7 linked regions of the Cricetulus griseus genome follow. The protein of the gene in region 1 interacts with the protein of each later gene in a pairwise test. Links are inferred from orthologs where the notes say so. Each region holds a gene or a part of one and is shown on either strand. Other genes may lie near its edges.

What was found.
Region 2: the proteins of Gopc (region 1) and Rhoq interact in a two-hybrid assay, tested with the Homo sapiens proteins (2 studies listed by BioGRID). The link is inferred for Cricetulus griseus from reciprocal best matches to the Homo sapiens genes GOPC and RHOQ.
Region 3: the proteins of Gopc (region 1) and Myocd interact in binary tests that used the Homo sapiens proteins (3 or more experiments, as listed by UniProt). The two-hybrid records come from large-scale screens. The link is inferred for Cricetulus griseus from reciprocal best matches to the Homo sapiens genes GOPC and MYOCD.
Region 4: the proteins of Gopc (region 1) and Vtn interact in binary tests that used the Homo sapiens proteins (3 or more experiments, as listed by UniProt). The two-hybrid records come from large-scale screens. The link is inferred for Cricetulus griseus from reciprocal best matches to the Homo sapiens genes GOPC and VTN.
Region 5: the proteins of Gopc (region 1) and Hck interact in binary tests that used the Homo sapiens proteins (3 or more experiments, as listed by UniProt). The two-hybrid records come from large-scale screens. The link is inferred for Cricetulus griseus from reciprocal best matches to the Homo sapiens genes GOPC and HCK.
Region 6: the proteins of Gopc (region 1) and Dpyd interact in a two-hybrid assay, tested with the Homo sapiens proteins (2 studies listed by BioGRID and IntAct). The link is inferred for Cricetulus griseus from reciprocal best matches to the Homo sapiens genes GOPC and DPYD.
Region 7: the proteins of Gopc (region 1) and Rnf183 interact in binary tests that used the Homo sapiens proteins (3 or more experiments, as listed by UniProt). The two-hybrid records come from large-scale screens. The link is inferred for Cricetulus griseus from reciprocal best matches to the Homo sapiens genes GOPC and RNF183.

Annotation. Positions count from the first base shown.
Region 1 is NC_048595.1:256,537,883-256,541,382, reverse strand, and holds part of Gopc (Golgi-associated PDZ and coiled-coil motif-containing protein), read right to left. Parts: intron 1,647-3,500; coding exon 1,519-1,646; 3' UTR 1-1,518.
Region 2 is NC_048598.1:88,602,082-88,606,110, forward strand, and holds the start of Rhoq (rho-related GTP-binding protein RhoQ), read left to right. Parts: upstream 1-1,229; 5' UTR 1,230-1,428; coding exon 1,429-1,570; intron 1,571-1,787; exon of another isoform or gene 1,788-2,113; coding exon 2,114-2,172; exon of another isoform or gene 2,173-4,029. UniProt on the Homo sapiens protein: Plasma membrane-associated small GTPase which cycles between an active GTP-bound and an inactive GDP-bound state. In active state binds to a variety of effector proteins to regulate cellular responses. Involved in epithelial cell polarization processes.
Region 3 is NC_048600.1:79,089,679-79,093,178, reverse strand, and holds part of Myocd (myocardin), read left to right. Parts: intron 1-1,206; coding exon 1,207-2,103; intron 2,104-3,500. UniProt on the Homo sapiens protein: Smooth muscle cells (SM) and cardiac muscle cells-specific transcriptional factor which uses the canonical single or multiple CArG boxes DNA sequence. Acts as a cofactor of serum response factor (SRF) with the potential to modulate SRF-target genes.
Region 4 is NC_048600.1:91,887,869-91,892,035, reverse strand, and holds the start of Vtn (vitronectin), read right to left. Parts: upstream 2,801-4,167; coding exon 2,737-2,800; intron 2,648-2,736; coding exon 2,528-2,647; intron 2,450-2,527; coding exon 2,102-2,449; intron 2,019-2,101; coding exon 1,879-2,018; intron 1,707-1,878; coding exon 1,550-1,706; intron 1,392-1,549; coding exon 1,239-1,391; intron 672-1,238; coding exon 312-671; intron 103-311; coding exon 1-102. UniProt on the Homo sapiens protein: Vitronectin is a cell adhesion and spreading factor found in serum and tissues. Vitronectin interact with glycosaminoglycans and proteoglycans. Is recognized by certain members of the integrin family and serves as a cell-to-substrate adhesion molecule.
Region 5 is NC_048599.1:26,878,472-26,881,971, forward strand, and holds part of Hck (tyrosine-protein kinase HCK), read right to left. Parts: coding exon 3,492-3,500; intron 3,144-3,491; coding exon 2,991-3,143; intron 920-2,990; coding exon 740-919; intron 1-739. UniProt on the Homo sapiens protein: Non-receptor tyrosine-protein kinase found in hematopoietic cells that transmits signals from cell surface receptors and plays an important role in the regulation of innate immune responses, including neutrophil, monocyte, macrophage and mast cell functions, phagocytosis, cell survival and proliferation, cell adhesion and migration.
Region 6 is NW_023276806.1:39,350,756-39,354,255, forward strand, and holds part of Dpyd (dihydropyrimidine dehydrogenase [NADP(+)]), read right to left. Parts: intron 2,421-3,500; coding exon 2,205-2,420; intron 1-2,204.
Region 7 is NC_048595.1:83,435,990-83,440,124, reverse strand, and holds the start of Rnf183 (E3 ubiquitin-protein ligase RNF183), read right to left. Parts: upstream 2,801-4,135; 5' UTR 2,644-2,800; coding exon 2,470-2,643; intron 1-2,469. UniProt on the Homo sapiens protein: Acts as an E3 ubiquitin ligase catalyzing the covalent attachment of ubiquitin moieties onto substrate proteins. Triggers apoptosis in response to prolonged ER stress by mediating the polyubiquitination and subsequent proteasomal degradation of BCL2L1.

The sequences.
Region 1 (3,500 bases):
GGAGCAACTGATAATATGTAACTTTTTATTCATTTGTACAATTAAAATACTAACCTTGCTTACAGGCAATGTTACACTACAAAGTAGCTCAGCATTAGTAACAATATACAGACCAAGTGCACTTCTAGTGACCAGTTACCATGGTGATACTCTGAAGAATGAAACCACCCACACAGACCATAAATGAGTAACAGTTACAAACTAAATTTATAAATAGCAAAAAATCACAAAATAAAGTATATACATTTTATAGATTTAACTTTGAACAAATATATAATGCATCTAGGGAAAAACAAGCATCCCAAGAAAGGTTTATCCTAAATGATAATATCCTGAAAGCCTTATATGGAGGCTTCTCCCGCTTACTATTCCCTTAGGTGTAAATCCTTTAAGACAGTGACATAGCAAAATTCACCACCTCTTTAAAGACAGTATTTGACTTTGCCCAGCAAGGTGCAATGGTCTGTGGGTCAGGAAGGAGGGAGTAGGCACTCTGTGCTTAGTTCTGATACAGGAGAACTAACACATTACAGAGTTTACATATTAGTATTGCTTTAGTCAAACATATACTGATATGAAAACCAATACGGTCACTGTACCAAAATGTCTTTACCTTGTCTTGCCCACCTTGGCTCCTGGTTTTTTAAATGATTGGCAAGTCAGGTACTTAAAGCAAACTGCAGTTTGAACACAATGTAATTCATGACAGTAATGTGTCCTGACTATCACAAGCCAAAGCTTATGAACAACTCAAAATGTATGAACATTTGAGAGTAAACACTAACAGTGTAGTGCTCCAGTGCCATGCACACAGATCAACATAATTGACAACAGGTATTTCACACTCGTCTGAGTTTCCTTTAAACCCCAAAGTAAAATGCACAGTAACTTCTCAGAAACTATTTCTAGTGCAGCATTGATTGATTGATACAGGATTGCCTAAAGAAAACTATTTTGTACTGCAGCTGAATAAACTGGAAAGCAAACTCGTTATAACAAATGATCATGAAGAATTAATTTAGATACCCGGAATGTACAACACACCTTTTTAAAAAACCTGAAAGAAATTTTTTCAGTTAAGCAAAAATGTCTGCAATTCACTGAGTCGAGCTCTGTCATCTGAAATTCTAGTTTATCCTTAGGGAATATGTGTTGTGGATTCCTCTATTCTGCTCTATTTAAAGGGTACTTAGAAAATCCAGTTAGCATTGTCCTGTTACATATGAAAAGGAGTCATGAACTAGCATCCACTTGGCCCTGAAGAGCCTAGTAATACCCCTTGGGAAACACATGCTTTGGTGCTTAGAGTCCAGGAAAATCAAAATGGCCTTCCATGCAATAGCTAATTAAGGTCTACCACAGAAAATAGGGGTTTCTGCACTTAGAATTGTTCACACGAAGCCCTGAGGTTCCCGCCTGTCTTTAGGCAACACACAGCCTCCCTTGATCTTGTGCAATCTTGGTACCATCTTCCCTAGTGCCCCCAATTCAAGAGTCTGACGAGCGTCTGGGGATGGATTAGTAAGCCTTTTTATGATGCAGGCTGTGCAGATCGGCTGCTCTTGCTGTGCTGTCATCCAGGGGGCTTTCACCTGAAGCCCCCATGTCCCCATTCTCATGCGTGTCACTCACTGTCTTCTTATACCCTGACAGAAAGGAACACAAGAAAAACCAGGAAGTTTTGGAAGGAAATATGTTTAAGTTTTATAATTTTACTGAGAAAAAAATGACCATTAACATTATTAGGAGTGACATAAGGCAAACTAACACTGCCTAGATCAAGTTAATAGTGTTTAACAAACATCAAACACCACACGCATCTTAAAGTATTACCTATTGAAGCCACCTGAAAGTTGTGAAATATCTATCTAGTTTTCTAAAAAACTTAGGGTTGATAAACTAAAATAAAAAAATCCAATTTTACTTGCACAACCATCTACTGGAATGCAAATGTTTCAATTTTTATATTTTGCTTCCACACTACTTCAGTTCACTAAGCTGCATGCTAATTGACTGCTAGACATTTAATCCATTGGCAAGATAATGACTGAAGTCATTAAAACAGATTCTGGTTAATTTACCTAACAAATAGCAGGGTTGTAAGTAGACATGGTTGACTACAACACCTATTAAGTAGGCTAAGAAAGACCTGTATTAAACAATAACCAACAGATGTATTTTAGCTAGGTAGTACCTGGGAAGCTAAGGCAGGAAGATCCCATGGTCAAGGACAGCCTCCGCTACACAATGAGTTCCTGGCCAGCCTAGGAGTCATAGGAAGACCTCAAACCCAACCAAGATATACTTTTCATTATCTGGCTCAGTGATACCATATGGCATGCATTTTGGCTGAGTCATAGTTCATGTTTTAAGTGCTTACAGTTTACATAGGTAACAAGTTTCTTAACATCAGATATAACAAAAGTAAGGAACATGTTTTCTTTCTTTCTTTTCTATTTATTTGTTTCTGTCCTGGAACACACTCTGTAGCTCGGGCTGGTGGAACTCAGAGTGCTAGGATTAAAGGTGTGTGCCACTGCTGCTCAGCTTGGAACAAGTGTTTTTAACATTCCTGATAGTAAAAAGACAATGGAACCATGGATAGCAGCTCAACAGTGTAAGGTTCTGACAAAACTCCACAGCAGTCCATCCATGTGTCCTGTGCCCCACCCCCACCCCCCTTAAGGCACAGTCTCACTGTATTGCTCTGGCTATCCTGGAACTTAATTTATAGACCAAGTTAGCCTCAAACTCAGTTTCAACTGTCTTAGCCTCCTAAGTGTTGCTTGTTATTCATTTCTAAAAACATTTTAGAAATTTTAACATTTTAACATTTTAACATATTTATTTTTATTTATGTGTATATGTATGTACACATGTCTAAATGCCTGTTGAGGCCAGAAGAGGGCATCAGATTCCCTGGAACTGAAGTTACATTAGGTTGTGAGCTGGGAACTGAACTCCAGTCCTCCACAAGAGTGGCAAGTGCTTTGAACCTCTGGGTCATCTGTCCAGCCCCAGTAGCTGCTAGCTTCCCAGAAGGTAGCTAGGTTTGCATCTAGGTGTTTGTTTACTTTATTGCAAATGCATGCAGACAGACTTGTAGCTTCACAGACGTGTAGCTGGGGAAAGTATTTTAATTGTCCTTTTCAAAATACTGTCAACATCTCTTAGTACTACACAAATTCTAACATTATCAACACACAGTTACATTAGAGTTCAACTGCTTTTCTTACACTGTGAAGGTGATACACACAATTTTGTAAAATCACATACAGGTCATACAAAAAACACTGGGTTGCTGAAGCAAGCAGCAATTCAAAAACTGACGTATTTTATTGCACTGTGTAAGAATTACATTCTTTAGTGTGTCCATCCACCTCATTCCAAACTCACATATGGGAATCAGCCAAGCTCATGGGGGATTGATGCCATGTTCTACAAAACACTAACTTTCACTTAAGAGCTCATATTTCATTTCTGGCAATAGAAACTCTCAA
Region 2 (4,029 bases), on another chromosome or scaffold:
AGCACAGCAATTTCTACCACTGTGAATCCGTGAATGGAAGCGACTTCCCTGTCAGCAAGCTGGGGATGGCGTGTGGTGTAGGGTCAGCGCAGTCTGCGCCTTCGCTCCAGTGCCGTGAGTGTTAAGCAGCCGTGGGCCACAGAATGGTCCTGGCCAGACAAGTGTTTCCGGACTTGCCAGACAGAGGCGCAGGGTTGGCCCTGGATCCCTGGCCAAATCTCAGAGCATGAGGACACATCATCGTATCTCAAGGATCACAAACGAATACTTTTGGAGAGACCTTTGGGAAAGAAAGGAAGCCTCGGACAATGTCGCCTGCAGGGGGAGCACAAACAACATTTGCGGTCTCCTGACGAGGGCTCGCCTCTTTGTGGCTAGCTTGGGGGTGCAATATGCTGCATCTCTCTTAGTCACCGATTTCATAGAAAATGACTCAAGCTCGTGCTGAGAAAGAAAGGCGTGGGGCGGTGATGCTGAAGCAATGAGCCAGGAGACCTACCACCTTCCCAGCCTCCGCGCGGCTTTCTAATTATTGTTATTAATTATTTTTATAACCCTCTTGGCTGCTGTTCCTGATTTCTAGTTGCGTGGAGCACTTGCAGGCGGATAGGATAGGATGGCTCCTGCCTTCCAGACGGAATTTAAATAGATACATCTGTATCATTTTGCACAAATGCGTCACCGTTGAAGTCGTCGTGGTTCCCCGAAAGGCCTCCACGTCTCCTCCCGGCACCAGGGCCTGCAGACGCTTCCGGGCTCTGGCCGCACTTTCGCGAGGAGCCCTGAGCTCCTCCTGAGCCGCTGCCCGACAGCCCCTCCCCCAGCTCCCCTCCCGTCCTCCCGGCTCCCGGGCGCCTCCTCCACTGCCTCCGCGCCCGCCTTGCGGGGAGTCAGGCTAGGGTGAGCGGTAGGACCCCCCACGGCGGGCGCGGGTGCGAGCGCGGGGCACGGGGCGCGCGGCACTCGGGAGCAGCGGAGACCGCCCTCCTCCCGACCCAGGCAGGCGGGGGCCGGGGCGGTGCGGGGCGGGCAGAGCCGCCTGGCCCCCCCTCCCCTCCCCTCCGCCGCCCTCCCCAAAGTTGCCGACTCCCCCGGGGCCGGACAGTCTTATGATCCGGCGGATCCTCCTGGGGAGGCCGGGCCGGGGAGCGGGTTCGGGTGCCGAGCGGCCGGGCCAGCAGGCGGACGCGGCGAGCGGGGCCAGGGCGGGGAGCGGGGCAGCGATTGAAGCAGCGGCGGCTGCGGCGGCAGCGCCCCGGGCCCGCCGCACCTTCCCCTCCGGTGAGGGGAACCGCTGCATGGGGCCAGGGGGGCGCCCTGCTGCGCCGAGCGGCGGCGACGGCGGACCCCCCAGGCGGGCTGGGGCTGAGCCCGGGGCCGGGGCGGGGGCTCCGGGGAGACCATGCCCCGAGGCCGGCCGGCCGCAGTATGGCTCACGGGCCCGGCGCGCTGATGCTCAAGTGCGTGGTGGTCGGAGACGGGGCGGTGGGCAAGACGTGCCTGCTCATGAGCTATGCCAACGACGCCTTCCCCGAGGAGTACGTGCCCACTGTCTTCGACCACTACGCAGGTAAGCCTCTGTCCTGCTGACTGAGGGGCTGATCCCGGACCGGGAACTTTGGAGCAACTTTGGCTGAGCCCCCTGGCTGCCTCCTCTGAGCGTGCTCCCCTCCCCCGCCGTGCCCTCTGCCTGGCGGCCCCACCCCCGAGACGAGGCTGTGCCTCTAGTCACCCCTCAAATCAACTCCCACCCCTCCCTGTCTCCCCCCTCGCCCCTTCTCCCACACTTCTCAGTCCCCAGAGCGCCCTCCTTGACCTTCCCGCGGTTGCTTCCCTTACTGCCCCAAGCCCCTGTTGGGGAGACATCTGGGGATACTAGGGTAGACGTGGCTATGGGACTTGGGAGAAAAGGGGTGGATAGCAGGGGTGCACATTTCGCCTAGATCTCATGCCACTTTGGCAGCGAGCTGAACGTTAAAAAGGTGGTGTTCATTCCCAGGGATCACCCACACGCCTCCCCGTGTTTGGGGAAGGGGGGGTCCGTGGGTAACGAAATTGCTCGACCTCAGGTCATTGTGAGCTTCTCTCCCCACCCCCACTTCTGTCCTTGCAGTCAGCGTCACCGTCGGGGGCAAGCAGTACCTGCTGGGACTCTATGACACAGCTGGACAGGTAAGTGCCTTGGCCTCTGGCCGGTTCCTTTACCCCCACCTTTCGCCAATTATGTGTGACTTCGAAGGGCCTTCGGAAGCTGAGGTGTCTAGGTGGGAGGGTGTGTCTTCCAGGGGCTCCTTCGGGATCAGGTCTTTTCTTAAGTCAGCAAATTAAGGAAACAAACCAAAAAGAAAATGCAGACCAGTGCGAAGCCCCGGGATGTTAAAGTTTTTGACTGTATGGGTCGTTATGTGCGTTGCCTGGTGTGTGGGTCCCAACTCCTGTTGCAAAGTGGCGGCGGCCAATGGTGAAGCGCTCTTATTTTTAGTTGCTGGTGACCAGGTCTCCCCCCTCACAGCCTCTGTCTGGTCCCTCATTGGTGAGTGGTCTGCCTGCCCGAGGAGCCTGATTGGTGGGAAATGGCATCATCTAACATGATGGGAAGGCATTTGGTTCTCGTTATGTTTATTACAACATCATTGCACTCTGGGACTCCAGTCCCTGAAAACGTAATTTGTGGTGTTACCAGAGAACCACAGGGAAAAAGGAAAGAAACAACAACCCTCAGCCACTCCCTGGGGTGCAGAGTGGCTAGGGTTAAGAGTTCAGCATGAGTCTTTCTTCCCCCTGGAGGGCCAGGTGACTGTGTTTTCTCTGGAGAGATTATTGTGCAGAAAAGAAAGAAAGGCTTCTTCCTTCAGCCTCTGGCTAGTGTTTGCAAACCAGAAGGGCCGGGCTGTTCTCCTGAAGGATTAAGGCGTTTTTTTCTCTCTCCCTGACCCAGCACTACCGACTCGCCAGACCCACTTTCTTTCCTCTGGGGCTAAGGTGATGAAGTTTGCAGAATTCAGCTCTGCTATTTGGCCAGAAGTCTAGGGAAGAAGTTTCTGTGTTGTGCAGACTTAAGGACCCTGAGGAGATGTGAGCCACTGAAGGGCTGCGGTGGCTCTCGGGGAAGATCAGTCATTCAGTTTCTTCTTTATTTTCCAAGCGGGGTGGGGGTGGCTTAAGAAGAAAGAAAGAAAGAAAGAAAGAAAGAAAGAAAGAAAGAAAGAAAGAAAGAAAGAAAGAAGGAAGGAAGAAAGAAAGGAAAAGAAAAAGAAGAAAAAGAAGAGAAAGACCACTACAGATACTATATACCAAATATGTGTTGTTGGTTTAGATTTGCCTTTTGGAATTGTACCTCTTAGATTCTATATTGACGTCTAGAAATATCTTGTGGGTTGAGCGTTTTTTTGGGGGGTGGGGGGCTTGAAGTGGTCCTGATTTCTAAACTGTTATTGGAACATCTGAGAAGTACTGGCGATTCAAAGGGCCAGAGGACATTCCCTGTCATCAAAGGTGTTCAGGCCAGTGCAGCCAGGATTGATTCTCAGATTTGGGAATAGCCTAGTTTGGCTATTCTTTCATTGCCCTCACCCATCAATTACGGAAGGCAAGGAGTGGAACTCACTTAGATACCACCAACTTTTAAATTGTTCTGTTGATAGAGAAGATGTTAACAACAGTTGAAGATAGGGAGTTGGGGGGGTTCTAATTTTAACTTTTCATACTACCTCATTTCTTTGTTGCAGTGATGGAGTTTTAACCATGCACTTTTTTTTTTAACATGACATGTGAATGTCAGAAGTCTTTATGCAGAGACCCAGTTACAATTAACCATATGCCCATGTATGTACATACCAGGTCATGCAGCACACAAGAGTTTGCTGCTGAGATAAAGACCCTCGCATCACCCCAATTCGAGGTCCTGGGAAGTGCAGATATCCTCCCCTACATTGGCCAGATGTTAGTGTGCATAAAGTACCTGAAGTTTCCTAGTCATTCTCTTGGTGGTGGTAGACAGGGTGGGGGTGAGGAGGGTTCCGTGCCACC
Region 3 (3,500 bases), on another chromosome or scaffold:
AAGCAGGAATTAATATCCCACTTCAAAGAGAAAGCACAGAGGATCAAGAAGCTAGGAACAGGAAGGGCCTAGTTTTTATCGTCATGTGCTTTCTTCAATATGCAATTGCTATCCAGGCAGTCTGGAAAGTGAAAATAGACCCAACATATAGCTGGGCATGGTGAGGTATGTCTGTAATCCCAACACTGAGGAGATGGGGCCAGAAGATTAAGAGTCAGAGGCCAGCCAGACAAAATGAAGACAAAACACAAACTGAGGAGGTGGAGAGTAACAACTTGTCTACCTTGTGCAAGACCCTGGGTTCCATCTCTTGAACAAACATACATTTGTGTCTATGGATAGTCACATATACACATGCACAATCTACCCACTCCCTAACTCCCCCTCAATGATGTTCACATAAAGTCTTGTTCTAAAAGTCTGGTCCAAGACCAGAGGCATATATGTCCTCCTGGGATTGTTATACGTGGAAAATCCTGGTCCCCAGCCACGACCTATGATGTCTATCAAGCTCTGCAGTGAACTGGTACATGTTTAGATTTGAGAAAGTGCATATGGCAGAAGAATCCAGAATTGCTGACAATTGTCACGGCTTGCTGTTAGACTTGTGTCTAAGGCCAGGCAGACACCAGTTTTCCACAGAACTGACCCAGGCTGAGATGGGGTTGGAGAGCTGTGGGTTAGGTGATTTTACCATTGGATTAAGGGTAGATGTGGTCTTCACTACAGTGGTTTATCTTTTCATTACCATGGTGTAAAATGATATGCAATCTGTACACATCAAACTTGAACTGGTGTTTGACACTTGGGCTAGTCAGTCTTTTCTGTTGGGCATCAGGAGTGGCCTCTGGGCCCAGTCTTGTCGGTGGTCATGGGAATGGCTGATGCTACTTGCAGGCCTTGCCGCTCAGCTGGTTTGTTCCAGAAGCTAGGTGTATTCCTTGTGTTTTTGAATTAATGATGTTTTCACATTAGGATGGACTTATTAGGAAACAAAGTTTTAGGAAGATTTGTTAAAATCCCATAAAATCGGTTTAAATAGGAGGCAGGAGACATGTTACAAAGAAGCATTAAAAGAGACATGGGTAAATATTGTAAAGTTCCCAAGTGTGTGTCCCATATTCCAAAGCTCCCTAAATACAAACACAAATACAGTGTGAGCACACTTCACCCGACACTGTTCTAATGGGACCCTTGTTCCTTTAGGTGTCAGAATTAAGACAACAGCTTCGAATACGAGGCTTGCCAGTGTCGGGCACCAAGACAGCACTGGTGGACCGGCTTCGACCCTTCCAGGATTGTGCTGGCAACCCTGTGCCCAACTTCGGGGACATCACAACTGTCACCTTTCCTGTCACACCCAATACCTTGCCCAGTTACCAGTCCTCCCCATCAGGCTTCTACCACTTCGGCAGCACGAGCTCCAGCCCACCCATCTCTCCCGCTTCATCTGACCTGTCTGCTGCAGGGTCTCTGCCGGACACCTTCACCGATGCCTCACCTGGCTTCGGCCTGCATGCCTCCCCGGTGCCCGCTTGCACTGACGAGAGCCTGTTGAGCAGCCTGAATGGGGGCTCAGGTTCCTCGGAGCCGGATGGGCTGGACTCGGAGAAAGACAAGATGCTGGTGGAGAAGCAGAAGGTGATCAACCAGCTCACCTGGAAGCTGCGGCAGGAGCAGCGGCAGGTTGAAGAACTGAGGATGCAGCTGCAGAAGCAGAAGAGCAGCTGCAGCGACCAAAAGCCACTGCCCTTCTTGGCCACCACCATCAAGCAGGAAGATGTCTCTAGCTGTCCCTTTGCGGCCCAGCAAGTGTCTGGGAAGGGACAGGGTCACAGCTCCGACACCCCCCCTCCAGCCTGTGAGGCTGCTCAGCTGCTGCCCCACTGTGTGGAGTCCTCAGGTCAAGCCCATGTACTCTCATCCACGTTTCTCAGCCCCCAGTGCTCGCCTCAGCACTCACCCCTGGGGGCCCTGAAGAGCCCGCAGCACATCAGCCTGCCCCCATCGCCCAACAACCCTTACTTCCTGGCCTCCTCCTCCGGGGCGCAGAGAGAGAGCCATGGGGTCTCCTCACCTAGCAGCAGTCAAGGGTGCGCACAGGTAAGTACATATGACCTCGCCAAAGGGTGTCTCGGGAGGTGGGAGGTGGACTTCCACCATTAGAGAGTTGGGGAAGGTTTCCTAGAGGCTAAGCAGCGCCTCACTGACTCTAGGGTTCTTGCGCCTTCACAGCCAGTCTTTGCATCACCGCAGGCAAGCTTTCTCTGTAAAGACTTAGAAGGCAAATGTCTGGAAATCATAGTTCCTGCACCAAACTCCTAAGCTTTACCCTTGTAGCAAATACGCACCCACAGACAGCTTGTAATAATGCATAACTTTCCAATATAAAGTTATCTGCAAAATCAGATGCCAAGCAACATTAAGCTTGTGGGTTATTGTTTGCTGATTAATGTTCTCAAAACTGCTTTATATCAACCATTATCATTGCCCAAATCATTCTATCCAGAGATCCAAAAGGAAGTTGGGCATGATGGCACGGGTCTGGAATTCCAGCACTCTGGAAGCTGAGGCAGGGGATTGCTGTGAGTTTGCAGTCAGCTTAGGTTACATCCCAAGACCACATTTTGGGGCATGGGGTGGGGTGGGAGTGACAGTGAGAGCCTGTGTGTGAGAAAACATTTCTCCTTCTCCTACATCCTTATCAAATGTTTATTGGGACCTACTATGTGTCACACTCTAGTGGGGGCGGGTGAGGGGGGAACTCAACTCCTGTGGGAAGACAGGTGATGGGTGTTGAGGAAATAGAGGATCTGTCTTGTGGAGAGAGTAGAGAAGGGCTGGGTGTGTGAGAAGCCTGGAAGTTTGCAATCTCCACTAGAGGGGTCAGGAATGTTGAAGAGGAACCTTGGAAGAGGCCAAGAGGAAACATTGTGAATATCTTGGATGAAGGCATAGGAGAAGCAGCAGGTGAAAGGTCCCTGGGGTTAAAACCTAAGTAGAAAGCTGAAGGATCAGAAAGAAGGCCAGCCTGTGTCTGGGACAGAATAAGCAAAGAGCTGTAGGAGAATGAGAATAACATGTCTATACCCAACATGATCAGCAAAGACTTTCCTTTTGTTCATGGAACTAATGGATTATTAGAAAGTATATAGGAGACTATATGAAGAAGAAAGCTGCAGTGTCAAAAGATTATAAAATCTAAGAAGATGACTCACATTGGGTACCTGCCAAGGCAAGTATTAAGAGGAATGAATAGAAGCCATCTTGTCTACCATCACAGCAGCCCTGTAGCTCCAGTTTAGTGTTTTTCTTTACCATCAAGAAAAAATGAGATCCAGGAAAACTGAACTCACTGCCTAGAATGCCAGGAGTTGTTGATTTTAAACTCCATAATGAAATATCTCTACCCTGGGGGTGTGAAGCATGACTAGAGGTAACAAGTGCACTTACCTAACAACACTTCAAATCAATGATACCCACTCCTGAAAGAACATACT
Region 4 (4,167 bases), on another chromosome or scaffold:
CAGGGGCTGGGCAGCCCAGCCAATACTGAGCAATGGAGCGTGGGTAGGGAGGGTTCACAGAGTCCACTCGCCGTGTTTTAAGGTTGACTCGGTAGTACTTGTCTGAAAGAGAGAACAGAAAGGTGTGTAAGATCCTGCCTGGTCCTGTCGCTGGTCCCAAGAAGGAAAACAAGGATTTCTCTCAGAAGTGACAGTGAACATCCACTATACAGGTAAGGTCACCATCTACAGGCTGTGTTCAGCACCCAGGGACCAGAGACTGCAGGAGAGACCCAAGGAAAACCAGCTTCAGGGATAGCAGGGGCTCCCACCTCCAGAGAAGAAATAGACGCTCTGAATGGGCTCGCAAGTGGCAGGTACGAGCCAGTTCATATCATAATCATAGTTGTAGTCTCCTAGCCCTCTCTCCTCACTAGAAAACAAAGAGAACCAGACTGAACGCGATGAGCGACGAGAATTCAGGCTGTGGCTGCTGCTGGGGCTGCGGCTGCGGCCACGCCCACGGCGTGAGCGGTAGCGTTTTCGGCTGCGTCGCCTAGACTTCTGCTTTTTGGCCTGGAAAGAGTGGGATGTGGAGCCCGAGATGTAGATGCGGCCAGCCATAGCAGCGTCCACTTTCCCTGGCACACCATGCCAGTCCCGGCTGATGAACTGGGGTTCTCTGACGCCGCCTGTAGCAGGGAAGGGGTTAATTACTTTGAGGATCCAGGCTTTAATTTCTCCAGCAGGACATTTATTTATTATTTATGTTTTTTTTAAACAAGGTCTCTCTATGTACCCATGGCTGGTCTGGAACTCACTATGAAGACCAGGTTGGCCTCTTAATTCACAGAGATCTGCCTCAGAGTGCTGGGATTAAAGGTGTGTGCCACCACAGCTGGCCCCAGCAGGCCTTTAGAGTTCATCTTGCCCAAGACACACAACAAGCTTCATGATAGAACTCAGTACCCAGCACCCAGGCCTCAGACTCCCTGTCCAGTGCCTTTTCCTGTGTCCTCAACCCACTGTATCCCTTGTGTCTCTGCCCCCTCCTAAATCCCTCATCCACTGCCCCTCCTTGTGCTGTGTCAGGCAAAGTCCAAGGTATGGGGTCCAAGTGGAGCCAAGCCTCACCCCCAAAAGTCAACAGAAGCAAAGTCTAGCCAGAGCAAACAGCTCTTGATCGATAGTGCCACCATTCCAGTCCCTCCTCCCCCTGAAGCCCCCACTGTCACAGTCTGGTCCTACTCCCTCTGTACCAGTGGATCTGCCCCAGAAGAGGAGTTCAAAGATGTCCTCCCAGCTGTCCCGCTGCAGCAAGGCAAAGTGCTCAAACACCGCTGACAGAGAGCTGCCTTCACAGTCCTCCTGGCTGGGCTGCTGCTGGAATTCATACTCCCAGTACTGCTTCCCTGGGGAGCAGGATAGCTGGCATCAGAAGGGCAGATCTGACTAAGGCTGGGGTGCTCCGAGGCAGGGTGGTAGCATACCCCAAGTCCCCACCCAGGGAAGCAAAGGAGAGAGCAGGGACTCCTCCACCACCTGCCCCTTCACCTCCCACCCAGAGTACCCTTGAAGAAGTAGACTCTCTCCCGGCCACTGTAGCGGTGAGCAGGAAGGGCTAAAGCAGCATCGACATTGTCTGGTATGCCACTGAAGCCTTCAGAGATGTTTCGGGGATAACCAGGGTCCAAAACGCCATCCTCAAAGCGCCAGTACAGACTGCCCTGAGGGGCAGGGAAGATGAAAAGGGTGAGGACATACTGCTGGGCAAAGAGGCAGTCCTACATCCTAAACTGGCTCTCAGCAGCTTCTGGAACCCCCTACTACCTCCTCCTCACATCTCCCAGCACCTTCCATGATACCCTTTACCTTGACTCATGGACTTGGGTCTGGTACCTTGAAAAGGTAGGTCTTCCCCTGACAGTTGATTCGAGTGAAGGCAGCATCAATGGGACCTTCGATGCCCCAGACATCTCGGATAAGTTTGGGGTACCCAGGCCTCACTGCTGTTTCATCTAACTCATAGCAGTACTGCCCTAGAGAAGGGGAAGCTGTGTGAGAAACAGATGCGCCAGGGCAGACTCTCCTCCCCCCACACCAGACCTGTCCATAGAGGCACCTCGGAAGGCAAAGAGGGAACCGTTCTTGAGGTCCGTGAAGGCATCAAAGGGCTTCCCACTACACAGCTCTTCCTCTGGGAAGTCAGAGGTCCCTTGAGCAGTGGTGTCAGGCCTTGAAGTCACCTCCAGGTAGCCCACTTCAGGCCCTGAGGTGCTTGCCTCCAGTGTAGGAGCCTGTTCCTCAGGCTTTAGGAATGATGTTGGCTCTGAGGTTTGAGGCTGTAAGTCAGGGTGTAAAGACGTGTTTTCCGGTTGTACATGGGTGCTGGTGCCATTCTTGGTCTCTTCCGTGTAGTCATAGGACCAATACTCATCTTCTGGCATAGTAAACACATCCCCCCGAGTCACTGCAGGCAGAGCGGGCAGTAGTGAGTTTCCGGTCACACAGGCGATCCCATGCCCACCCACCAGGGCTCTGAACAAACCTTGGGGCTTGCACTGTGCCACATAGTCAGCACAGCAGCTCTGATAGTAACTGCAAAGCTCATCACACTGACACTTCTTGTTGGCCACAAACCCCTGGTTGCAGCGGCCCTTGCATGACTCTACGAGAGGGAATATTAGTCTTTACAGCCCAGGCCAGACCACCTGCCCACCCTGCATCGCCCTAGATCTCCACCAATCACCCCCACACCTTGGTCAGCCAGAGAAACCCATGCCAGCAGGGTTAGCATCAGAAAGGGCCTCAGAGGCGCCATGGCAGGCCTCTAGCTGAGGGTCTGGCAAGCTGGGCTCGGAGCTTCCAGAGTCTCACCGTCCAGCCTGGGAAAAGAATCAAACTGAAGAAGAGTTGCTATTTTACTAGGTTTCTGCCTCTATTTGCTCATCCTCTGGCCCAGCCCTATTGCCCTCCTCCAAACACAGCTGCAGCTAAGGGTCACATTCCCAGAACTCCAGCCCTAGGAGAGCTGAGAAGTAGAAACCTTGCCAAGTCCAGAGTCAGAAGGGTCATGGGCAGCTGGGAGAGCATGGTGGGTTGAGAAGGCAGAAAGAAAGCATGTGTTATCACCCTGTGAGCCAGTTATGTTAATCTCTCTGAGACTTTCCTTTTATAAAATGGGACCATGGTGCCTGACCTCATCAGGTGTTGAGAAATTACATGAGCCAGAACAGACAAAATGCTTGGTGCCTGAAGTAGCTTCCAACTCATTCCCATAAGCAGTTATCGATTCGTTGTTTGATCAGGCCCATCCCCGACTAGGTGTTTGTCCCATCCTACCCCCACTTCCTAGTTGGATATTTGGGGCAGTGGAGTGGAAGGAGGGGTGAAGGGAGAGCTGCCAGGCACTCTGGGGGAGGTTTCTTTTCTTATCATAAAAGAATAAAGCTTCATTTCTAGCCTCTCCTTGTGGAAGCATGGTTCCCTCTAAGCTGGGCTCCACAGCATAGGAAGCAGTGGCTCCTAACGCTTTGGCCCACAGTCCATTCCTTTCTTGAATTTTAGATTTATGTATTTTATTTTGTGTATATGAGTGTCCATGCACCATGTGCATGCCTGGTGTCTGTGGAGGTCACAAGAGGACTTTGGACACCCTGGAACTGGAGTTTGAACAGTTGTGAGCTGCCATATGAGTGCTGGGAATCAAATCCCGGACCTCTGCAAAAAAGAGTGTTCTTAAAAACTAAGCCATCTCCCCACTCCCAGAGCCCACTGCTGAGGCCTCCACTAATCCACTGAATCCACCTTCAGTGACCCCTTCTAAAAAGAATAAACTCATTGGGCATATTTTTAGACTTATATTATGAAGTGTGATCCCGCTATGAAGAAGATGCTCACTGGCACAGAATGCCAGGTTTCGTGTCATGTTTCAGGCACCAGTATGCTTCTGAAGCCCCTAAGTTTTCTGTTCTATAATCTGTCTCTTCTCTATGAAGCACTAAATCTTACTCCCTACAGACATGTGAAGCCTAAGTGGAAGCAGGCATTAAAGGGCCTTAAGAAGCTCACTGCGGTTCTTTAACCATCCGAAGGGGATGTGGATCCATTCCTTCAGTTTGCTTCCACATCACCCGGGACAGGGTGAGCAGTGGGGATCGAGGACCTCTCTTTCCAGCCCTTCACCTT
Region 5 (3,500 bases), on another chromosome or scaffold:
GAGAATGGGTGCCCCTGGGCCTGGCTTTAGGAAGCCAGCTGATTGTCAATTTGGAAAGTGGAAAGGGTTTTGAAATTTCAAATCACATTGAATGATGTTGTGTGAGATGTTTATCCAAAAAAATGAGCAAGGGCTTAAAATGACTGTGGAACAGCTATCTTAAAATAAATAAATAAAAACAAAACCAACAACAATTTAAAAAAGAAACCCCGAGAAGCCAGGTGTGGAGACATACGTGCTTGTGAGGCTGAGGCAAAGGGCTGCCGTGAGATTGAGGCTAGCCTGGGCTACATAATGAAATCCTAGATATGCTGAATGATCACAGGTAGGGCAGCCCAAAGCTTAGGAGCCTGGAGTGACAACATGAACATTTCCCATGATTCTGTGGGTTGAACATAGCAGGCTGGGTGGGCTGCGGCGTGAAGTGAGGTGACAGAGGCAGAACATTCATTCAATGGTGTCTGTCCCCATGAGGCTTCTTGTCCCTCAGGACTCCAAGCAGGGCTTCGCTACAGCCCAGCGCCAAGGTTCCAAGGTACAAGTCACAAGAAAGCCACATGCCTCTCCTGTTTTCCCAGAGGCTCTGCCGGCTCCCTGCTCTGAAGCCCCCGCCCTCCCTCTCCACAAGCCACCCTTCACTCGATTCCACTCCGTGAGCCAGGAGGCTGGACTGACTGTGGTGCTTTGTGAGAAATTGTTGGAAGTCTGCCTGGACCACAGTCCGTCCTAGCCCACGCACCTTTGGCCATGAACTCGGTGACAATAAAGATGGGCTCCTGAGTGACCACGGCATGCAGCTTCACCAGCTTATCGTGCTGCAGCGTCTTCATCAGGTTGGCCTCCGCCAAGAAGGCTTCCACAGACATGCTCCCTGGCTTCATGGTCTTCACTGCCACTTTGGTGTGCTTGTTGTAGGTGGCTGAAGAAAGCATGGAGCAAGGAAGGGGGTTAGGATCCAGCAGCCCTGTGGAGCCCTCCCTGCCCACCCAGTCCTGTAAGACAGAGAGAGGGTGCCACTTTGACCTCAGCTGCCCTCCCTGCTTCCTGGATGAGAGCAAATGAACAAAGCACCTCAGTTCTCCCGGCTGTGTTTTCCTTTTCTGCGACGTGGAAATGAAAATAAGTACTCACTCAGAAGGAAGGGTTGTTTGCAAGAGTGAAAGACAGCCTTCTATCTGAGCTCGGGGCACACACCTGTCACCCTAGAACTCCTAAGCTTATGAAGTAGGAGGGCTGGCAGCTCCAGACCAGCCCATGTCTCAAAAAACAAGGGCTGGGACTGGAGCTCAGTGGTACAGCACTTGCCTGGCACATGCAAAGCCCTGGATTTGATCCCCAGCGCTGTAAAATAACAGTAGCAACCCTTAAACCACTAATTAGATTGTGGCATGAGCCTGTACACAGTGTTTAACTGCCTTGGAATAAATACCAGATTCACTATGCCCCACAGACTCTGCTTGGCCTGGCCATGCTTGCTTTTCTGTCTTTGTCATCCACCAAGGTCACCCCCAATACACACAACTAGTGACTGAGCCAGGACCTCATACTAGGAAAGTGCTCTACCACTGAGTTATGTCTCCAGCCCCCTTTCACTTTTTATTTTGAAAAAGGGTCTTACTAAGTTGTCTCAATATAGTAGCTGGGTCACTAAATTTATTCTCGCTTTCTTTTTAACAATTAAATTAAATTAATTACTCTCTCTGTGTGTACATGTGTGTATCTGTCTTGTGTGCACGTGTGTGTGTGTGTGTGTGTGTGTGTGTGTGTGTGTGTGTGTGTGTGTAGGTCAGAGGACAGTCTTTGCCAGCCAGTCCCCTCCTTCCACTGTGGGTTCCAGAGACTGAATTCAGATCATCAGACTTTTGCAGCAAGCCTTTTTTACCTGCTGAACCATCTCACTGGCTTCTCTCTGGCTTTTAAACACTAACCACCCTGCATGTACGTGTCCCTCAACCACTCAGCTGTGGGGACTTGGCACACTCTGTTCTCTTGGTCCATCCCACCCTGCTTCATTTTATGGCTCTTGTTCTATATTTGCTTTTCTTTCCATGTGTGCTTTGGATGCTGGGAAGCTCAAATCCAGATCTGTGGGCTTCCTGTAGTGACGACATGGGGACAGTTTTGTTTGTTTGTTTGTTTGCTTTAATTTGCCCCAACTTTGCTGCTCAGATCTGTCTCTCCTCCTTGCATTTCCTCATGGTTCCTTCTTTAATTCAGCACCTGACATTATCCAGCACCTGATATAGCAGACTATCAGTAAATTTATTGTCAGACAGTGGTGCCCATGCCTTTAACCCCAGCACTTGGGAGGCAAAGGTAGGAGAGTTCAGGGCCAGGCAGATATATATAACTAGTTCCAGGACAGGCAAGACTACACAAAGAAACGCTGTCTTGAAAAACCAAACCAACCAACCAACCAAACAACTTACTTTATCTGGTCAAATGTTTGCATCTCTACGAGTTGCCTCCCTCCCATCTGCCACACAGGGGAGTGTTAACACAGTGGGTCAGACACTGTGACCACCTACCTCCCCATGAAACAGGAATTGCTGTTCTTAAAGTACTGGGACAAGGACCACAGAGGGGTGCCAGACCTTTCTGCTGGCACCCCATCACATCTGAAATGTCACTGGGCATCGTGGTTCATGATCTGAACAGCTTAGTCTTCAGTTGCCAGCATTGGACTCACCTAAAAACCCAAGTTCTTTCCACCACTGTGAATTTTCACCATCCCAAGAGGCCCTGGGATGTCAATTCCACACAACAAAGGGCCTTCACCATCCAGGACTCGGGACTCCTAGAGGGAAATTCTTTGACCCTCAAGTCTGGCCACAAAGGCAAAACAGTGATTCCCCAGTAGACAATTTGGTTTGTTATCTGAGGAGTGGCCCTCTGGGGTTATTATTCAAATGTCCCTCTGCTGTGTGATGTCCCCGCACTGGCAGGGCCCTCCCATCATGGCCCTGTGGACTCTGGCCCCAGCTCCTTACCCATCCACACTTCTCCAAACTGCCCAGCGCCAAGTTTCTTCTCCATCTGGAGGGATTCTCGAGGAATCTCCCAGGCATCTTTCTCCCATGGCTTCTGGGGTTTGGGAGACACACATGGCACTGACAGCTTCTGGCAGAGCCCGTCCTTCCCCTCTGAAACAGAGTTCCAGTCAGCAGGCAGTACAAGTGCAGAACATGAAGAAATGCTGCCAGGAAGACCTCTGAGTTCCCGAAGGCTGGCTGTCACGCAAAATCCCATGTGACTGGGATTCTGAGAGACAGGCCCTTCTCAATGGGAGCCGATGTGATCCAGGACTTGCCTAGCATACACCAGCCTCTCGATCCTTCCCCAGAACCAAACAACCCTTGTAAAACACAGCCAAGGTGTTGAGGAGTGAAAGCTGTGGCTAGTGATAGCATCCCAGCTGGGCTGCACTGAGCAATAATAACCAGCTTAGGCTCTGCAGGCAAATGTGGGGCATGGCCATGGGCAGGACTCACTCTTGTAGT
Region 6 (3,500 bases), on another chromosome or scaffold:
AACTTCTTATAAAACTGTCTGTAGGGGACAGTGTAAGACACACCTGTTAGAAGGTGGCTATAGGTGTGCTTGACCACGCCCTGACGGCTTACACTGTCCCCTACAACTGTCAGACAAAGAAAGCTGTAATACTTTAATGATAATACTGTCAGCTATTGATCCCAGGAAAAGAAGAAAGCAGGTAGAATGAGCTCTAATCACACATGTTAGTTCTCTGCTATTTTCTTTGCCCAAGGATAAGGCTGATTTAAATAATGATACTCCCTTTAGTGACTAGACCTACCCATTCTTACACATTAATTATTACTAACTGCAACATAGTACTAACTACATTAATGGGGTTTGCCATCCAAAACTTTTTCAATAAATGGCCCATGAGATGTTCCTATTCATTCTATAAATTAGACTTCAAACTCACCACCATCTAAGGATGCTGTCTGTCTTCTATCCCATCAGTCACCCAACCTTGGAAGTGTGCATTTACATGGCTTTTATGCTTAAAGTTATCTTACATTTATTTATTTGCTTATTTGTGTGTGTGTGTGTGTGTGTGTGTGTGTGTGTGTGTGTGTGTGTGTGTGTTTAAAAGAGCGCATCCCTTGACATAGGGCTTATGTGGCCACCAAGGAAATCTTTCAAGAATCACTTTCCCCTTTTATCATCTCAGTTCTAGTAATCAAACCCAAGTTACCAGCCTTGACTGCAAGGTCCTTTACCTGCTGAGACATCCCACTGGCTCTGCTTTTTGCACTAAAGATTTTATCTCAAAATCATTTATTTGCTAAATATGTAGCTCTCCTTGTAAAAGCATAAAACCATAGTGTCACATGGAATTAAACTGGTTGGGGTGTTTTTATTAAGAAATTCTTGAGAAATCTTAATACCACAATCAACAAATTACAGTGGGAAACTCTCTAAGACATGTAGTGAATAACGGGATTTTATGCAAACTAAATCCATTGTTTCCCTAACTTTGAATTGAAACATATGTTGTCATTTACACACATCCTAAAATCACAAAATAATAATGTCAAAACAAAGAATTAAAAATAGAAACTCTCATATTATCAGGCAGCCCCCTTACATTGGGTTACATATCCAAATGAAACAAAATCAGTATGCCAAAAATATGTATTCCCATGTTAATTGCTGCACTGTTCACAATAGCACAAACATTGAAACTTCCTTAATGTTCATCAAGTGATGCACGGATAAAGAAAGTATAGTACAGAAACACAATGGGGTACTTTTCAGCATAAAAATGGAATCTTGAACTGGCAGCAATGTGGATGGAACTCAAAATCATTATGGTAACTGAAATAAGCCAGTGACAAGGAAGACTTGTATCACACAATTTTTCATATATGGAATCTTAAAACAGATAGATAAGTGGTAATTAGGAGTCGAATGGTATTTACTAAAGGCTGAGGCAGCAGGAAGAGAGAGGCTTGGGGAAAGGTGTGTCAGTTGGGTTAAAATTACTTAGAAAACAACCCTGGTGTGGTACCCCACAAAATCATGACTGTAAATATCAGGAACATACCCTGCATTGCAAAGAGGTAGATAAAAGCAGTTTGAAAGCTTTCTGCATAAAAATGAAATATTTAAGACACAAATGTTTAATGTGGTTAAAACACTACACAATACATACAAATAGCAGAACATCAAATGACATCCTCCTAATATAAACAATTAAAGTAATTTGATTCAATTAAAACAGGGATTAGTGATTGTTAAATCACTACTATACTAGTTTTTTATTTGTGTGTAGGGTTTTGAGACAGCTCTCACATAGCTCAGACTGACCTTCAAATGTAGCTGAGGATAGCCTCATATGTTTGATCTTTTTACCTTCATTCCCTAAGTGCTAGGATTATAGGCATGCACCACCATATTGTTTCATGTAGTGATGGGGACTGAACTTAGATTGCTGTGCTTGACAGGCAAGTCCTTTACTAACTGAGCTACATCACCAGCAAAATATATTGTGATGTTTCTTAGACAATACAAAATGAGAATATATTCCACACCCCTCTATCTGTGGGATAGACAGAATTAAAGAAATTTAAACTATAATGTTTAATGTTTTCAACTATTCTGTAATTATCATGTTTCAGATTTAAAACAGCATTCCATCTTATATTTACATTTTAATGAAAATGCATGCTAGACATTTGCACGTAATTTCAAACATATTATCTTACCTTATCAAGAGAGAAAGTTTTGGTCAAAGCAAAACCCCATCCAGCTTCAAAGGCCCTTCGAATCATTGGTGTGCTAGTGGCTGGTGTGGCACTGGCAAGGCCAAAGGGATTGGGAAACCTCAACCCAGCCATTTCCACACTGATGTCCACTAGGTCTACAGGAGTATAAAATAGGGGCAGTTCAGGCTGAGCAGATACCAAGGTTCCATATTGTTCCTGCAAGAAACAAGTCAGCAATAACTTCTCTTGTATCATATCCGAACTGCCATAGAATCATTCCCAAAATCTCTTCATCACAGTACTCAAATGAAACAATTGGTCCATTTCCTGAAGAAAACTGCCCCAAAGTCAGATTTTAGTGCCTCAACATTATACATAATTATCATTGTCCAAATTAAAAGTTCACTATAGATGTGGTGAACAGAAGGAAAATCAATTAAACAAACAACCAAACAAAAACTCTATTTCAAACACACTGCGATTCAAGCACAAGAGGGGATCATTTTCCAATTTATCTTTCTGGTTCCATTAACCCAGCTTCTTTGTACTTCATTTATGAAAATGTCTTAGCACTGAGATATGGGACACTGCAAGTGAGGAGGTCTAAATTCATTTCCCAGTAATCTCACTGCTCTGGATGTGGTTTCAGGACAGTCCCTTAGCATGCCTTGTCTCTTCTCCTCTATAACTCTCAGCACAGCAGTGGGACTTTGGCCGTCTCATTTCCTACCTCAGAGGGATATTGGGGAGTGTAGAAAATAGGCCACAGGGAGACTTCTAATTACAACAGAAATGACACACTTGAGGACTGAAGGAATTTGCCTTTTCAGAAACATAACTAGAAACAGATACCAGTTTACATTAAACTCTCCAGGTGACACTTCAAAATGCACAGAGCCATTGTTCATTGGTCACTATAACCAAGATGTTAATATGTTTTAAAAAAACATTTAGGCATCTGGCTCACTAAAGGATAGAAAATGCTTGATGAATGTCTTCTGTCCTCTTTCCTTCCCCTCTCTCTGCATTCTCTCTTTCCCTTCCTCATTGTCACCCTCTCCTGTCCCTCTCTCTCCCCTCCTCCCACTTTCTGTTTATCTATGAAAGACAAATACTTGAAAAATACAAAAATGGATAAATATTCTCAGGCAAAGTAGTCACTGAATGGACAGGGCTACTTAATTCAAAAGTAGAACTCTGTTCTCTTGTGAATCATCACTCAAAGAAAAGGTTATTTGAGCAGAACCTTAATTTTATAGGCATGTGTCTTGTGTAGATAAAGATTACCATGACTTG
Region 7 (4,135 bases), about 170 Mb from region 1:
AAATCCATTTTATTTTAATTTAAAAATGTGGAGTATTGAATGTATGTCTGTATACCAAGCAAATGCCTGGTGCTCGTGGAGGCCAGCAGAGGCTGTTGGAGGTCCAGGGGTTGGAGTTACAAACAGTTATGAGCTGTCATGCAGGTGCTAGGAATTGAATCTGGATGCTCTGGGAGTGCTCCTAATTGCTGAGCCATCTCTCTGGTCTCCTATTTCCAGCAATAATACAGAGGATTGACTAGAAAGGCCAAAACTGGAAACAAAAGGTCAGCTATCAAAGGGTCAGTTATGGCTACAGCAGTTAGTTCAAGTGTGTGACAGTGATGTCTGATTTAGGGGAGGTGAGGGTATAACTGAAAGAATATAGCACATAATAAATATTTGAAAAATGTTTAGCATCTATAGCCACCAGGAAAATGTAAATCAATACTGTATTGAGATTGCACCTCATCTAGTCTGAATGGCTATCAAGAAAACAAAGAACAAGTGGTGGCCAATCTTGTTTGTCAGTGAGGAAACTTGCCACCAAGCCCAATGACCTGAGTTCCAGGCCCTGGGCCCACATAGTAGAAGGAATGAACCAGCTTCCATAAGTTGTCCTCTGACCTCCCTGTGAGCACAATGGTGCACGCTCCTCCAAATGAATTTTAAAAAGTAAATAAAAATGAAAATAAGTGTTGATAAGGACTTGGAGAAGGAGGAATCTTTGTACACTGCTAGTGGGAGTGCAAACTGGGGAAGCCACTATGAAAATTAGTATGGGGCTCCTTGAACAACTGGAACTACTCTGTGACCCAGCCATATCCCCCCGGTGTGTACACCCGGGGGAGTCTAAATCAGCAGCATGGATATATATGCCACAGAGACATCTGTTCATTGCTGCACTATGAACAACCACCAAGACATGGAACCAGCCTAGTTGGCCATCAACAGATTAGTGGATTTTTAGAATAAGTGTTATATAAACACAATTGAGTTTTATTCAGTCATAAAGGATGAAATTACACTATTTGCAGCAAAGTGGAGGGAACTGGAGGTTACTTTGAAAAATATGTGCACCATAGAAAAATCTCTCCCAAAAGATGACATACCAAATGTTTTTGTTGTTGTTGTTTGTTTGTTTGTTTGTTTGAGGCAGGGTCTCATTTTATACCCTTGGCTAGCCTGGAACTCTCTACATAGACCAGGCTGGCCTCAAACGCACGTTGATCTGATGTCCTCTGCTTCCCAAGTTCTAGGCTTAATGGTATGCACCACCACTCCCAGAAACAACTAAATGTCAATAGTGGCCTTCAGTGTGGGCAAAACCACCAATCTGGTTTATTGCTAGAGCATTTGTTCTTAATTCTATTACTTAAAAATGTTGGCTTTGGGGCTGGAGAGATGGCTCAGCAGTTAAGAGCACTGGCTACTCTTCCAAACCTAGGTTCAGTTCCCAGCACTGACATGGGAGCTCACATCTGTCTGTAACTCCATCTGCAGGGGATTCAACACCCTCACACAGATAGATGTACATGCAGGCAAAGACCAATGCATATAAAATAAGAATAAACAAACCATTAAAAAATAAAGAAAGGAAACGTTAACTTTGTTCTGGTAAGCTTGTCTTCCAATCCCGGAAGACACCCCCACCCCGTCATCCTAGACCAGACCTACATTCTCTGAAGTGCAATGGCCACAGCTATAAATGGATGGTCCGTAAAGAGATGTGAATGTTGGAATGTTGTCTGGGTCCTTGTCAGAGGTGCTTCTCTTAGGCACCCACTGCACAGAGTTCAGTGTCTCTAGGAGACACTCAGTGACTTATGGACCCCAGCTTCCTACCTGGATAACTCGGCAACAGTAAATTCTAAACACCAGATGGCAGTTATTATTAGCAGTAACTTGTCTGGAGCACCCCTGTACCCCCATGTTGTCAACACCCTGCCAGCGGGCGTAGAGAACTGGCATTCTGATGGCACTTGATGGCTTTCCAAGGGGGCTGGTCCTTGCTAGTAGCTGAATATGGTAACACATCTAGAAAACCCAATTGCCTTTTACAACTGTTTCCATTTTTATGAGGCCATTTGATTCTCTAAACCCTGCCTACAAACAAGATAGACAGAGGAGTAAAGAGTCTTCACGATTTGAAACAAGACTCTTGCTGAACGGAATGGATGACTTCATTTCTCTGAACTCCACTTCCCTCTGTTGAAGAAACTCACGAGCCCTCCTTACAGGCTGCTGGGAGGATGGAGTTGTCCTTAGCATGGCACAGTGGGTGTACTGACCGTACAGGAGTTAGCATGATTTTGTTAATGCCCATCTGATAGATGGCGAGACTGGGGCTTGGGGTGTAAAGTGACTTGACCAGGGCTTCAGAGCCAGGGTGACGGAGCTTGAAAACTGACCCAGGATTCTGCCTTCAGGGTCTCAGTTCATACCAAGCAATGTCATCTGCTCCAACCTCTCCCACCCTTACCTCCTTACCAGCTTCAGCAAGCCTTCTTCACTCTCAGCACAGTATCCAGGCGGGTGCTTCAGTTTCTTGCTTCTGTCCTGGCTTCCAAGTTGCTGGGGGCCAGCCTCATTTGCATGGGTTTCCCAGCTCTTGAGCACTCTCTGGCTGGTTTCCTCCTCGGGTGACTTTGGACTTCTGCACATACAAGAGACCTAGACGTTTGCTTCTGTGAGTCACCCTTGCTTTCTCTGAGCGGGTAGAAGGAAGTCCACTCATCCTTGCAAGCTTCTGTTCTGGAACGGGAGGGGCTCTAGCCTTCCTCTTGCTCTGGACTGACCTGTCTGGACTTGCCCTCAGCCTGACTTCAGGGAAGCCAGGGGATCCCTAAAGCCAGATACATGGCTTCTCTGAGGCCCTGCAATGAAGGCACACCAAGAGCTCTTGCAAAATACAAGATAACCCAGCAGGAAAACAAAACAAAACCAAAAAATGAATGACAGTTCAGTAAGCATAAGCCAGAAGTACCTGAATTCTTCAACAAGCCACTGGGAATCCAGAACCAGTGGCTTCTGCATACACACTAGCCATGAGGACAGGACTTCACCTCACCTGCCCTTGGGTTCTTCACCTGAAATTGGAGGGGGAAAAAAAAATCCACCTACTGGGGCTGGGGCTAAGAGTACTTACTATGCAAGTACAAGAACCTGAATTCAAATCCCAAACACTTGAGTAAAAATCTGGGCATGCCTATAACCCTAGCATTGGAGAGGGTGAAGGGTGGAGATTGGCTGGCTGGTCCTGGGAGCCAGCTGGCCAGCCTACCCAAACAGCAAGCTTCCAGGTTGATGGAAGACTCTGCCTCAAAAGAATAGAGCAGAAACATCTGATATCCTCCCCTGAAGGCTACATGCAACACACACACACACACACACACACACACACACACACACACACACACACACACACACACATACACACCTACCTACCTGCAGATTAAATGAGATAATACACAGAAATGTTGCTATATGGTAAATGGCACACAGAAGCACACAGTAAGCTTCAATTAAAAACTGTAACATGATCAAGTAAATAATGAAATACAAATGGAGCACACACACAGAAGTTCAAATGGAGACTGGAAGACTGGCCCTGTAATCTGTCCTATGGCCTCACCATCTTACAAAATGTATTCCATATGGCCCATTTTTGCTCCCTTTTGCCGGGGGGGGGGGCAGTTTGAGACAGCATTTCTCTGTAACAATCAGAGCTGTCCTAGAACTCACTTTGTAAACCACGCTGTCCTCAAACTCACAGAAATCCTCCTTCGTCTGCTTCTGCAGTGCTGGAATTGAAGGCACATACTGACACCACCCGGCTAACATTATTTTTGAACAGGGTCATTCATGTGTTTATGAAAGGCTTGATTTTGTAGCAAAAGCTCTCTTTTCCCAGCCATTTAGTTGCACCCAAAATTAAAGTATTACACTATATGCTTTTTGTGTCTCTTTTCAAAGATGTCTTGTGTGTGCACAAGCAAAATGACTGGGTTCTTTGTTCCTTCTCATCCTTTTCTCCACATGTGTATTCTCCAAGCTGCTTGACCCCTTGCTGCAAATGTCCTTACTCACTGGTCCTCACCATACCTACTGTTCTTGTTTTTGTAATGGCTATATTGTTTCACTGATGGCTGTGCCA